Linked DNA regions of Sus scrofa. The protein of the gene in region 1 interacts with the protein of each later gene in a pairwise test. Links are inferred from orthologs where the notes say so. Each region holds a gene or a part of one and is shown in the gene's direction. Other genes may lie near its edges.

Evidence for each region.
Region 2: the proteins of PPP1R16A (region 1) and PPP1CB interact in binary tests that used the Homo sapiens proteins (3 or more experiments, as listed by UniProt). The two-hybrid records come from large-scale screens. The link is inferred for Sus scrofa from reciprocal best matches to the Homo sapiens genes PPP1R16A and PPP1CB.
Region 3: the proteins of PPP1R16A (region 1) and TPP2 interact in binary tests that used the Homo sapiens proteins (3 or more experiments, as listed by UniProt). The two-hybrid records come from large-scale screens. The link is inferred for Sus scrofa from reciprocal best matches to the Homo sapiens genes PPP1R16A and TPP2.

The regions. Positions count from the first base shown.
Region 1 is NC_010446.5:306,415-310,057, reverse strand, and holds part of PPP1R16A (protein phosphatase 1 regulatory subunit 16A), read left to right. Parts: exon of another isoform or gene 1-52; intron 53-2,403; 5' UTR 2,404-3,124; coding exon 3,125-3,383; intron 3,384-3,643. UniProt on the Homo sapiens protein: Inhibits protein phosphatase 1 activity toward phosphorylase, myosin light chain and myosin substrates.
Region 2 is NC_010445.4:110,471,561-110,475,977, reverse strand, and holds the start of PPP1CB (serine/threonine-protein phosphatase PP1-beta catalytic subunit), read left to right. Parts: upstream 1-1,589; 5' UTR 1,590-1,601; coding exon 1,602-1,653; intron 1,654-4,417. UniProt on the Homo sapiens protein: Protein phosphatase that associates with over 200 regulatory proteins to form highly specific holoenzymes which dephosphorylate hundreds of biological targets.
Region 3 is NC_010453.5:70,984,627-70,988,269, forward strand, and holds part of TPP2 (tripeptidyl-peptidase 2), read left to right. Parts: coding exon 1-97; intron 98-337; coding exon 338-438; intron 439-1,271; coding exon 1,272-1,368; intron 1,369-1,867; coding exon 1,868-2,005; intron 2,006-3,330; coding exon 3,331-3,575; intron 3,576-3,643. UniProt on the Homo sapiens protein: Cytosolic tripeptidyl-peptidase that releases N-terminal tripeptides from polypeptides and is a component of the proteolytic cascade acting downstream of the 26S proteasome in the ubiquitin-proteasome pathway.

The DNA.
Region 1 (3,643 bases):
TGGTCGGCTGCTGAGACGCCCAGCGCTGTCCCGGCCTGGGGCGCAGCTGAGGGTGAGTGTTCCAGCTCTGGGGCTGTTCCTGGACCAGGTGCCCAGGAGGAGGCGGCACTCGGGGAGCAGCTCGGGGGCACGAGAGCTTGGGGTTCAGCCTTGGGGGAGCTGGGTCACGCCTTCCATGGAGAGTGTTGCAGGATGGGTTGCCCACGGCAGTGGGGTCCTGGGCCCCCCCAGGGTCACCTCTCTCTCAGAGGAGGCTGTCCAGCAGCCCAAGGGACCCACCCAAGGTCACACAGGGGCCCCCTCTGGCATCTCCCAGCAAGGAGTGCTGCTGACCGGGCCCAGAGCGGGTCGGGGCCTTCGGGAAGGCAGACCCACCAGAGCAGAGGCCTGCGCCCAGCAGGACACCCGCCTCCTGGGTGTACTGCCCGGGGCGTGGGGCCTGCAGGCAGAGGGTCTGGAGCCGGAGCCCTGTCCTCCCAGTGCGGCCACGGGGCAGGGCCTGGGGCTGGCCAGCCTGCTCGAGGCAGCTCTCGGATCCCCCCTGAGAGGGATTTTCATGGGTGGCCTTCAAAGGGACAAAGCACAACAGCTAGAAAAGACAGCGTCTGTTCTGCTCAACAAGCTGGCGGTTACTCTAGGTTTTCTGTAGGATGCGGATACCAGAACCGCTTTTCTCTCATAAAACGATAGTGTGGGTTATGTCCCCTAAATCTTGCTAAATTAACAAAGTCGGGCTGTGGCTGTGTCACTGGTGCTCATCTGGGAGAAGTGAAACTAGTCCCTGAGGCCCTGGGACCCCACTTTGCTGGGGAGCCTCGGCCTGAGTGCGGGGTGGCCTCCTCCATGGGTTGCCTTCCCCGAATGGCTGGAGAAGGGGTCATAGGCGGGGCTGGCACTGGGCAGAGGGCAGCGTGCTTTGCTCCTTCTGTGTGGTCTCAAGGCAGGCCGTTCGGGCTGGCTCCCCTGGCAGGCCCAGATGCTGCCTCCATAGAGAGGACAGACCCCTGAGTGGGCTGGAGGGCAGGCCAGCTCCCCGCCAGGGAAAGTGAGGGAGCCCGTGAGTGGCCAGGAGGCAAGGAGATCCTTGTGGGGGGCGGGAGCTCTGCCACGCCCGTGTGGCCTGGCACCCATGGCCGTCCTCATGGCCAGAGGGCAAAGGCAGTACTTGGGATCCGGGCAGCCCGTCTGGGTGGCAGTGTCCACCACGGCCCCAGTGATGTGCAGAGGCAGCCAGCTGGGGACAGGCTGTCCCGAGCGAGTGCTGCCTGGAGGCACTTCCTCGCCCCAGGAAGCCTCTGAGGCCAGGCCTGCAGAGGGGACAGACAGGCCGGGGCAGATTGTAAAGCCCCCCACCCCAGCCCAGTACGGGGGGTCTTGGAGCTAGAGACACCTGACCTGACCTGATCTGGAGCAGGGCAGTCCCTTCCAGAAAGAAGGGGTGCTCAATGAGGTCCCCGAGTGAGGTCTGGCCCAAGGAAGGCTCAGGAGGAGCACCGATGGCCCCAAGGTCTGATGGTGGGAAGGGGGCTCCAGGGACGCAGGCTGGGCTGCAGGTGGGTCTTCTAGGTGGACAGGGCCATGGCTTCCTGAGGGGGGGCCTGCGGCCGCCTAGTGATCACACCCGGGGTGCTGGGCAGGACAGGCCACGGGAGGTGGGGGTGGGGGGACTGCGGGGCTGCGCCTCAGCCTAGCTGCCTGTCTGTTCTGACAGATCCTGAGGCAGGCAGGCACCTGGGCCTGTGCTCACCCAGCCAGGGCCTGGGTTCCAGCCCAAGATGGCTGAGGCAGCAACCGGCCTGAGCTAGAAAGCCCAGCGCAGACGAGGCCCAGACTCGGGTGGCGAGGCACTGGGTGCAGGTCAGGACAGGCTGCGCCTCCTCCCTCAGCAGCTAAGATGCCAGGAGGCCCCTCTGGGCAGTGTCAGGAGAGCCCGGGGAGAAGGTGACTGCCAGGTCAGAGGTGCTGTGGGGACAGGGCCAAGCCAGGACCTGAGGGCTGCTGGCAGTGCCCCCCTCTCAGCTGCAGAGCCTGCAGACCCCTTTCTGGGAACACTGACGGCGTGAAGCAGAATGGCGGCAGAGCAGGAGTTCCCACTGTGGCTCAGCGGGTTATGAAGCTGACTAGTATCCATGAGGATGAGGGTTTGATCCCTGGCCTCGCTCAGTGGGTTAAGGATCCCGAGATGCTGTGGCTGTGCTGTAGGCCAACAGCCGTGGCTCCAATTCCACCCCTAGCCTGGGAACCTCCACATGGCCACGGGTGTGCCCCTAAAAAGAAAAGAATGGGGGCAGAGCAAGCCCCCTCCCCTCTGCCCGAGCGTCCTGCAGCGGTGCTCTGGCCAGCAGGGCGAGCCTCATGCAGGCTGGGGCCCTGCCCTGACAGCTTTCTCCTTCCTCTTCTCAGGCCGTTGGCAGCACCTGCTGTCAGGGAGGCTGTCCTGAAGACACAGTGCCCACCGTACCCTCGCTCTCTGGCTGCTTAGAGCCTCTCCCCGGCACTGGGGCCAGGACCTCCGAATACACCCCCGCCCAGGCCACCCAGCTCCCCCTCCAGCCACACCGCCTCACTAGCACTGACCCCAGGAAGGCTGGGGGCACCGCGGGAAGGCCAGCCATGGCTGCCCCCAGAGCCCACCCAGGCTCCTGAGGCCTGGAAGGCAAGGGGAGCTTTTAGGAGCCCAGGGTCCTCTGCCCATTGCCCTGGCCTCCCTCCACCTCAGCGAGGCGCCTAGGAGCTGCCACTTTGTTATCTAGGTAATTAGCTTCAGACCCTGGACCAAGGCCAGCCAGGTCCCGGACTCTTAACCACAGGCTGTGCACCCTGACCCGGGGAGGCCCTGCCCGCTGAGCAGCCGCTGTGCCAGGGCCCTGGGAAGCAGGCTGCAGGTGCCCGCCCACGCTGCCCTCTCTGCCCAGGGCCTGTGCCCCTCATGACTGCCCAGGCCTAGTGACGGGGTGGGGCCTCCTGACCCAGCCTTGCCAGGGGCAGAAGGCACCCAGGCTTGGGGAGGGGATGCCCCCACGGGTACCCGTCCAGCCAGCTGCCCCACCCCTCAGGCCCAGCCTGGTCCCCGCACTCCCCCGTCTGGTGCCCCCAGCAGCCCACTTGCCAGGCAGCCCCCGCCATGGCCGAGCACCTGGAGCTTCTGGCAGAGATGCCTGTGGTGGCCAGGATGAGCACACAGGAGCGGCTGAAGCATGCCCAGAAGCGACGCGCCCAGCAGGTGAAGATGTGGGCCCAGGCTGAGAAGGAGGCCCAGGGTAGGAAGGGCCAGAAGGAGCGGTCGCAGGAGGAGGCAGCCGGTGGCAGGCGGCAGAAGCGGGTCCTCTTCCCTCCCAGCGTTGCCCTTCTGGAGGCAGCTGCCCGCAACGACCTGGAGGAAGGTGAGTGGGGCTGAGCCCCAGGCCATCCACGGCCCCGGCCCCGGCCCCTCACCCGGCTCAGACCCCAGAGGTCTGCCTGCCTCACAGAGCCCCAGGTCTGTCCCTGCTTCTTCAGCCCCTGACGCCTGGTGGCCGGTGACCTCAAGGGGTAGCCCTCACGGCGCGGGCTCCTGCTGCGAAGGTGCCGCCAGGCGGGGTGGCCTGGGGCTTGGCTGGGGGTGCTCGTGCTAGAGTGCTGCTGGGCGTCCCTCGGGAGGGTC
Region 2 (4,417 bases), on another chromosome or scaffold:
GTCACAGATGCGCTCAGATCTGACATTGCTGTTGCTGTAGCATAAGCCAGCTGCTGCAGCTCTGATTTGACCCCTAGCCTGGGAACTTCGATATGCCCTAAAAAGCAAAAATAAACAAATAAATAAATAAAGCAACGCCAGAGCACATAAAAAGATCTCATCAATGTCAGCTATTACTAGCAATAGGTGAGCGGGAGCAGCACTGCCTTGAGCTTGAGACAGCATCTTGTTTGATTTTTGTGGACAAACACCTGAGGAATGAGTAAAGATTTCCCATCTGACCACCTCTGAGAACGGGCCAAAAAACTCTCGCTTACCTAGAAGCTTTGCGTGGCTACTCTTTCTCCTGTATTTCTAGAGGCAGAATTATGTGGTAGAAAGACGAGGTGAACAACGAACTGTTCTGAGCCTCTGTGCTTCCTTGTCCCTCTCTTCCGCGTACCAGATACTTAGTGGGAACTGCAGGCACAAAGATAAATTTAGTTTACCCTATAGCAGCTCACAGTAGAGTGTAGGAGATAAAAATGCAACAACAATTATAAGATACGATGATGAAGCAATATAATGAAGGTATTTTTTTCTTGCTCAAAAATACACTGTGGAAAAACAGTAAGCTATGTGAAAGCGCTCTGTAGAGAGCAGAAAGCAGTTCCCACGTAAAACATTATTACTGCTGACCCTCAGGGCCCAATTTAATTTATTTCATCTAGGAACACCAGGGCAACCAACCTTGTGGAACCGTAGGGTAAAAATCCCTCATTTGCAATGTCAAGCTTTTCCAGCAGAGTAACCCCATTCTTGCTTCCCAAACGCGCAAATCCAGTTTCAAACATGGGTAATGCAGTCTGTGTTTCCCGCCTAACAAGACCCGGGAATTGGCTTGCAACACCAGGATTGAAACCAAGAAAAGAAAGGCGAGGCGGGAAGAGCACAAGAACTACGTCGTCTGCTGAGCGCCCAGCCTCAGGGAGCTGGGAAGCGGAAGGTCAGCCCTGCCTACGCGCGCCCTGCGTAATGGGAGCTTTCCCAGAGCATCAAACCCCCGGGAGCCTTGAGGGCGCCTGCGCAGCCGCGACGATTCGGCGCAGTGGAAGTGGAGAGGGAAGGCGACGCACCTGCGCAAAGGCGGCGACGCGGCGGCGGCAGAACCGAGTCTAGTGCGATTGCGCCGCGGCTGGCGGACGGGGGGGGCGCCGCGAAGGAGTGCGCCGTGCGGCTGCGCGGAGGCCTGCGTGGCGCGGTGGCGGGGAAGGGCGGTGTGGAGTGAGTGGCGCTGCGGGTGGGGCCGTCGGCGGCGCTGGTGAGCTTTGCGGAGTTGGGCGGTGCCGAGGAGGAGGAGGTGGCGGCTGGGTCTGACGCGGCCCGGTTCGTGGGGGCTCCGCTTGTTTATTTATTTATTTATCGTGTGTGCCTCCGAGTGTGCGGCGCTCCACTACTTGGTGGGGAGGGGGTGGGGGAGGGCCTGGGGGAAGGGGGAGTTGGAACCGGGGTCGAAACGCCGCGTGACTTGTAGGTGAGGGAACGCCGAGCGGTCGCCGCAGCCTCTGCCGCCGAGAAGCCCTTGTTCCCGCGGCCGGGAAGGAGCGTCTAGTGCCGACAAGATGGCGGACGGGGAGCTGAACGTGGACAGTCTCATCACCCGACTGCTGGAGGGTGAGTCGGGGCCTGGCCGGCCGCGGAGAGGGGAGGTTCCCTCAGCCCTGCTTCCTCCTCCGCCAACCGGAGCGGGCGGGAACCCCCTTTCCCGCCCCAGGGCGGCCGCCGAGGAGCGGGCTAAGAAGCTGGTGGGCCGGAGGAAGCGGGCTCCGGGAACACGGCCCGGGGTTGGGGTGGGGGGGTGGGGGTGAGGCGGGCGAGAGGGGCTGACCCCGCGGGCGGGCAGTGCCCCTGCGGACCTACGGGGACCCGCACAGCGGCGCGCCGAACGCGGGTAGAGGAGCCCCGGGCTGCTGGGTGACCCTTCCCAAAGAGGGTGCCAGGATGCGTGCTCTTGTGCTTTGTATGCCGGTGGAAAGTGTATTCCTTCTCTGTTCTCTTTGTGCCTTGCCCTTGGCTGCCTCCGATTCTTGTTCTGGGAGTGGATTTTATAAAACCTTCTCCTTGAGAAAACTGTTTGATCTGTTCTGCATTTTTTACTTGATGCTTCCAGGACCAGCTCTATTTAAGGAGAAGATGGAGTTGAGTAGCTTTCATTTATTATTTAGCTTTAAAAATGAGTAAAACAAAAGTATTTGAGCGAGCTGAAGATGCACGCAAGAAATACGAAATATGTAGACATGTTTACTGAAGCGCTTGGTTTTCGGGTTTGAGAATTTAACAGGTTTGAGCAGGCTTTAAATTCTGCATAAACTTAGAAAAGGTCGATTGTCAAGCTTCGCTTGTGTTTAAAAGATATTTACAAGTCTTCACAGCTTTTGAAGTTTCTGGGCCCTTCTGTTTTTATTGGATAGTTTTATGTTAGGGTAAAGAGAAGAGATGGAGCGGCCAGGATGTTACTCAAAGTCAATCGCGATTTTCTGCCAGTGAATCCCTTTGCCCTGAAGTTTGCGTCATCGCTAAACTGCTTTTAGAGTGTGTAGAAAAGAAACTAAGCTATTAAAAGAAAAAAATGTAGAGTCCTCTCTCAGAAAGCGTGGAAGGGTTGCATGTGCATTGTTACTTGCTTTCAAATTTCCTGAAGATAAGTGTTTGGTACAGTGAAGCAGTGTGTGCTTACATTTGGAAAATCTTCACAGAAGATTATATGTTTGAGGGGCGGCGGAGAGGGCGCTAGTTCTTTTTTATCCGCCCATGTGTGTATCTCTTCAGTTCTGTGTGTACCGTTGTGTAACAAACTACAGTATATTTGTTCCAGATGTGCAAGCGTTCCAGCAGTCTAAGACTGAGTAAAAAGCCTTCCTGCAGTCGTAAGACTGAATAAGGAGCAAAGTTTTACAGGGAACTCTTGTTTGCCTTTCCTTTTGCTATCAAGTTATTCTTGGGAGGCCCCCTGGTGCCTACAGTCCGTGTTCACTGTTAAAGACTGCGGATTTTAACAGATGTGAACATCTTACTGGGTCCACGAGACGTTTGCTTTGGGGGAAACATTTTGTTTGTGTGTGTGTAGCTGTGCGTTATTCTAAGGGGGAAATACAGCTATGTAAAATTTTTAGTGTCTTGTTAACTTTGAGGGATATTTATGCCCACCACCAACTGGTACAAAAAACTTTTATACGTTTTAAACTTAGCTTGTAAAATTGAAATATTTGAAAATCCGATGCTTGTTATCTCAACTTCCTCACTTTTATTTTCCATATATTTACATATTTATATACTTAATAGACATAAAACACAGTAGACTTAAGTGTTTTGAAATATTTAACAGGGGGCCTTTTGTCAGATGCACCTTTTTATGATTTAATTAAGAAACTTCACTAGTGGATTTTTCAGGGGTTTTTAGAAAAAAGGTATCATGGGGGAAATAGGCTAAGTAATTTGTTTCTGTGAATTCAAATTACATGAATATTCGGCTCTGGTTTCAGATGATTTCTTTCTTCCCTTCCTTTTTTTTCCCCTCCCTTTCTTTCCTTCTTTCTTGATTTCTAGTCCAGACATTTTCTCCTTTTAAATTAGCAAACATTTATTGACCTGCTTTGTGCCAGTCACCAGGAATCCAAAGATAAGAGACAATCTCTTCACTCAGGGAACTCCCAAATCCAAACAAGGGACTTTTCCGGCTTTTTTAGCCTGCTCTTGGGCAGTGAAGAATGTCATTACTTGCTTCTTAATCCCAGGAAGTATATTTAGTTTTGACAGTGCCTCCCTGGGATTCTTAAATTCTTCAGGCTTCTCTTATTCCCCTTTCCAAAATCTAGACCTATTCAAAGACATCCAAAAACTGGCTTGGATTTTCTAATAAGTAATTATTTTTAGTCTTCAAATAAAATCTTTTTTGTCTGCCTTGATTTTCAGTGATGTTACATGCTAACTAAATTTAACTCAAATTCAAGTAAAGCTGCCTAGCAGAATAGCTGTAGGTGGTGTTGTTGTTTTTAGTATTAAATGAAAGTACAAATTAAAATTTGCCCTAAATTTCTCTGCATTGGGGCAGAAATCAACAGAACACTTTAAAATGTTTTTTGTAGTTCCACAATGCATTCTTGACTTTTTAAAAAATTATGTCATATTGGCAGTCAGCTACAAAACTTGTAGTAATCTTTTGAGTTGCTTTGTGTTTTTTAGATGGGCAAATTATGTAAATTTTCAGTATCTTTTACATTTAAATGTTTTATTATTTAATGCAAAACAGTGTACTAATTTATTGTTTGGATAATGCATATTCTTCTAGTGTATTTTCTTGGAGTAAGTTTTACTTACTAAGAAGCCAAAGATGCTTGTCACTTTGTCCCCTTTAGTGATCCTGGTACCACGTTCTTGT
Region 3 (3,643 bases), on another chromosome or scaffold:
TTGCATTGCTCGTTGGTGGGCAAGTCTTAGTGACGTCAACATTGATTATACCATTTCCTTCCACGGGATAGTATGTACTGCTCCTCAGTTAAACATCGTAAGTTTCACATTTCCTTAACTTTTAACGTCAGTTATTTGTGTTGTTATGAAGTGATTTCAGTGCTTGGATTTAAATTTTAATGGGGAAATGACCTATGATTCTAAAAGAACACTAGTCCTTGTTATGGGTGCTTATAAACTGCATTGGACACATTTATTTTAGGTTAAAGTATTGTTTAAAAATGCAGTTTATTTTCAGTGATGTTTGAGCAACTCATGTGATAACTATCCTTTGTAGCATGCATCAGAGGGAATCAACCGTTTTGATGTTCAGTCCTCCCTGAAATATGAAGATCTGGCTCCCTGCATAACTTTGAAGAGCTGGGTCCAAACGCTACGGTATCTTAACTGTCTTAGGGCTGCAGATGTTGGGTATTGCTGTGGGGGAGGCGGGGGGAGGGGATCTCTTCCCTCTTTGGAAAGGGTCTTTTTTTAATCCTGTGAAGACTGGAGCTGAAAACTCAGTTCATGACTTTGCAGCCCAGGAGGCCTAGCAGGTCTCCGAGAGGCAGCCCCAGCCCCAGCCCCAGCCCCAGCTTCAAGCCTTCAGTGACACACATATACAGCCCTTGGCATGGCGCCTGGCAGGACCCTCCTGCGTGAGGGCAGGAACATCTGTGGACAAAACCTGACCTTCAGCACTGTTAGGGATGAGTGCCCTAGTGTTGGGATCTGATAATGTCAGGACTTCTAGTTGACAATTGAAAATGCTTTTATCATGAAAAGATTACCTTTAGGAGTTTGTGCTGTGGCTCATCAGGTTAGGAGCCCAGCTAGTGTCCAGGGGGGTCCAGCATTGCCATGGGCTGTGGAGTGGGTTGCAGACACAGCTCGGATTTGGCGTTGCTGTGGCAGTGGCATAGGCCGGCCACTGCAGCTCCGATTTGACCCCTAGCCTGGGAGCTTCCATGTGCCCCAGGCGCGGCCCTAGAGAGAAAAAAGGAGAAGAAGAAGAAGATTACCTTTGTAATACTGTAAAATTGAGCACTATGTATTGCTGTGGTTCTGTCAATAAAGAATTACGTTGATGTTAATGATTAAAATATTATAGCATGTACTGCAGAGTGACAGTGTCCATTTGTCACTTACTGTGATATGTTACAGATTTTGCTGATTATAGTTTTGTCTCATTTAAGTGAACTCTTGAATCTTATGCAATTGTCTGATTACAGTCCACTGAGTGCAAAAACAAAGCCTTTAGGATCAAGAGATGTTTTGCCAAATAATCGTCAGCTCTATGAGATGATCCTGACATACAACTTTCATCAAGTAAGTGTTTGTATAACCAAGTATACCCTAAAAAGATAAATAAATAAAGTATATGTACCCTTATAATCACCTTTGTTTTATGATTCATAAAATCCAAAAATGAAAGAATAGTGTATTTAGTGTTTGTATACACACATATATGACATAGAATCAAGTAATTAACACTGATTAACATAATTATTCTGGAGTTCCCATCGTGGCTCAGTGGTTAACGAACCTGACTAGGAACCATGAGGTTGTGGGTTTGATCCCTGGCCTCGCTCAGTGGGTTAAGGATCTGGCATTGCCGTGAGCTGTGGTGTAGGTCACAGACGCAGCTCAGATCTGGCGTGGCTGTGGCTGTGGCGTGGGCTGGCAGCTGTAGCTCCAATTGGACCTCTAGCCTGGGAACCTCCATATGCTGCAGGTGTGGCCCTTAAAAGCCAAAAAAAGAAAAAAGAAAAAAAAAAAAAAGAAACCGCATAAACCACGTCAAGTAATCAGTCTTATTCTTTTACAGCCCAAGAGTGGGGAGGTCACTCCAAGCTGCCCCCTGCTTTGTGAATTATTATACGAGTCAGAATTTGACAGCCAGCTGTGGATTATATTTGACCAGAACAAAAGACAGATGGGTTCCGGCGATGCCTATCCTCATCAGGTATCAAGTGGGCAGTGACTCAGAATTAACAGAACTAGTACACTGCAGGTGGTTGGTGGGGTAACGTCCCTGGTTTGAAATGCTGGTGTGGCTGTGCACTTGGTGCATGGAGCCGCTGCTCGTGGCCCAGCCGTCTGCTGTAGAACAACCATGACGGCTTCTCAGCCTACAGTTCGGCTGAATCAGGCGCTGGGCTCGAGGAGCGCCAGGGTCACGCTCGCAGGTGCTGGCCGGCAGAGCTTTTATTTTTAGTATTTCTCCTTCTTACCCGGTGCTTGTTCCCATCTGATCGCTGAAAGCAAATCACCCTGATATATGAGTACCTCGATGCGATCCCATGACTGAACTGGGTCCAGAACAAGGCGACCCTGCCAGGTGTCTACAGTTTATTAGAACTTTGAAATATATTTCTTCTTGGTCAGCTGTGTAGTGAGCACTTAGTGTATGCCAGGCACTGTGCCTGTCACTGTTGTGTTGAAGGGAAAAACAAATCTTTTAATCATGTAATTTATAGAAATCTTATCCCTGATTAAAGTGTTATGACAGAAATGAGGTATTTCCTGTGACATTCACAATTTTATGCTAAATAATAGAAGTAATTTATGCAGAGTGTTTTTAGTTAGTCGTTCGATGAATAATTTCCTTTTTTCCTCAAAGCGAGGCCCAGTCATGTCTCCTCAGTACAGACTGGATTATTACAGTGCCATTACTACTTTGGTTGCTTTTAAGATCTTGGGAGAAACTGCTGTTGCAGAATACAGTGTTCCATCCTCTTGAGCAGGTTAACTAGACGGAGCTTGGTGGATTTGTATTCCTTGATCCCCACTGGCTCCCTCTTTCCTGTCTGCAGCAGAGGGGTGTGGCATTTTGATTATAATCCAAAGCCTATCAGTCATATGTGTGTGTATGTTGGTCTTGGATACACAGCACCTTAGTTTTGCTAATTTTTGGTGGTGTTTTATACGTGTCCATGAAGACCCCTGAACTAGAAAATCTTTGCCTTTATCAGTCTTGAGCAGACAGGGATTTAGCTTGGCGTGTAGGAGTGAGTAGCCTGTTGTGGGACGAATGAGGGCTTGGGAGCCAGAGCTGCCTTCAGCCCCCTTATCTACTCTGTACGTGACCTTGGCCAGGTTACCTGACACCCCAGGTCCTGCTTGCTTCCCTGCAGTCGAGACCACGTGCATGTAGAAGTAGGTGTAGTAACTGGCCCTGAACCTCATGTACCGTAAGCAGCCTGTAAGTGGTAATTCTTACTGTTTATCCTCTGACTGTAATTTTCACTTACCCAGCTAAACTCTTCCCAAATGTTTTCTCTTTTGTAGTATTCTTTGAAACTGGAGAAAGGAGATTATACAATTCGACTACAGATTCGTCATGAGCAAATCAGTGATTTGGAGCGTCTTAAAGATCTTCCGTTTATTGTTTCTCATAGGTTGTCTAATACCTTGAGCTTAGATATTCATGAAAATCATAGCCTTGCACTTCTAGGGAAGAAGAAATCAAGTAACTTGACATTGCCACCCAAATATAACCAGCCGTTCTTTGTTACTTCCTTACCTGATGACAAGTAAGTGATGGTAACATTGCTTATACTCGCTGTCCGTCTTCTGCTCTGATCTCAGAATGCTAGTTCAT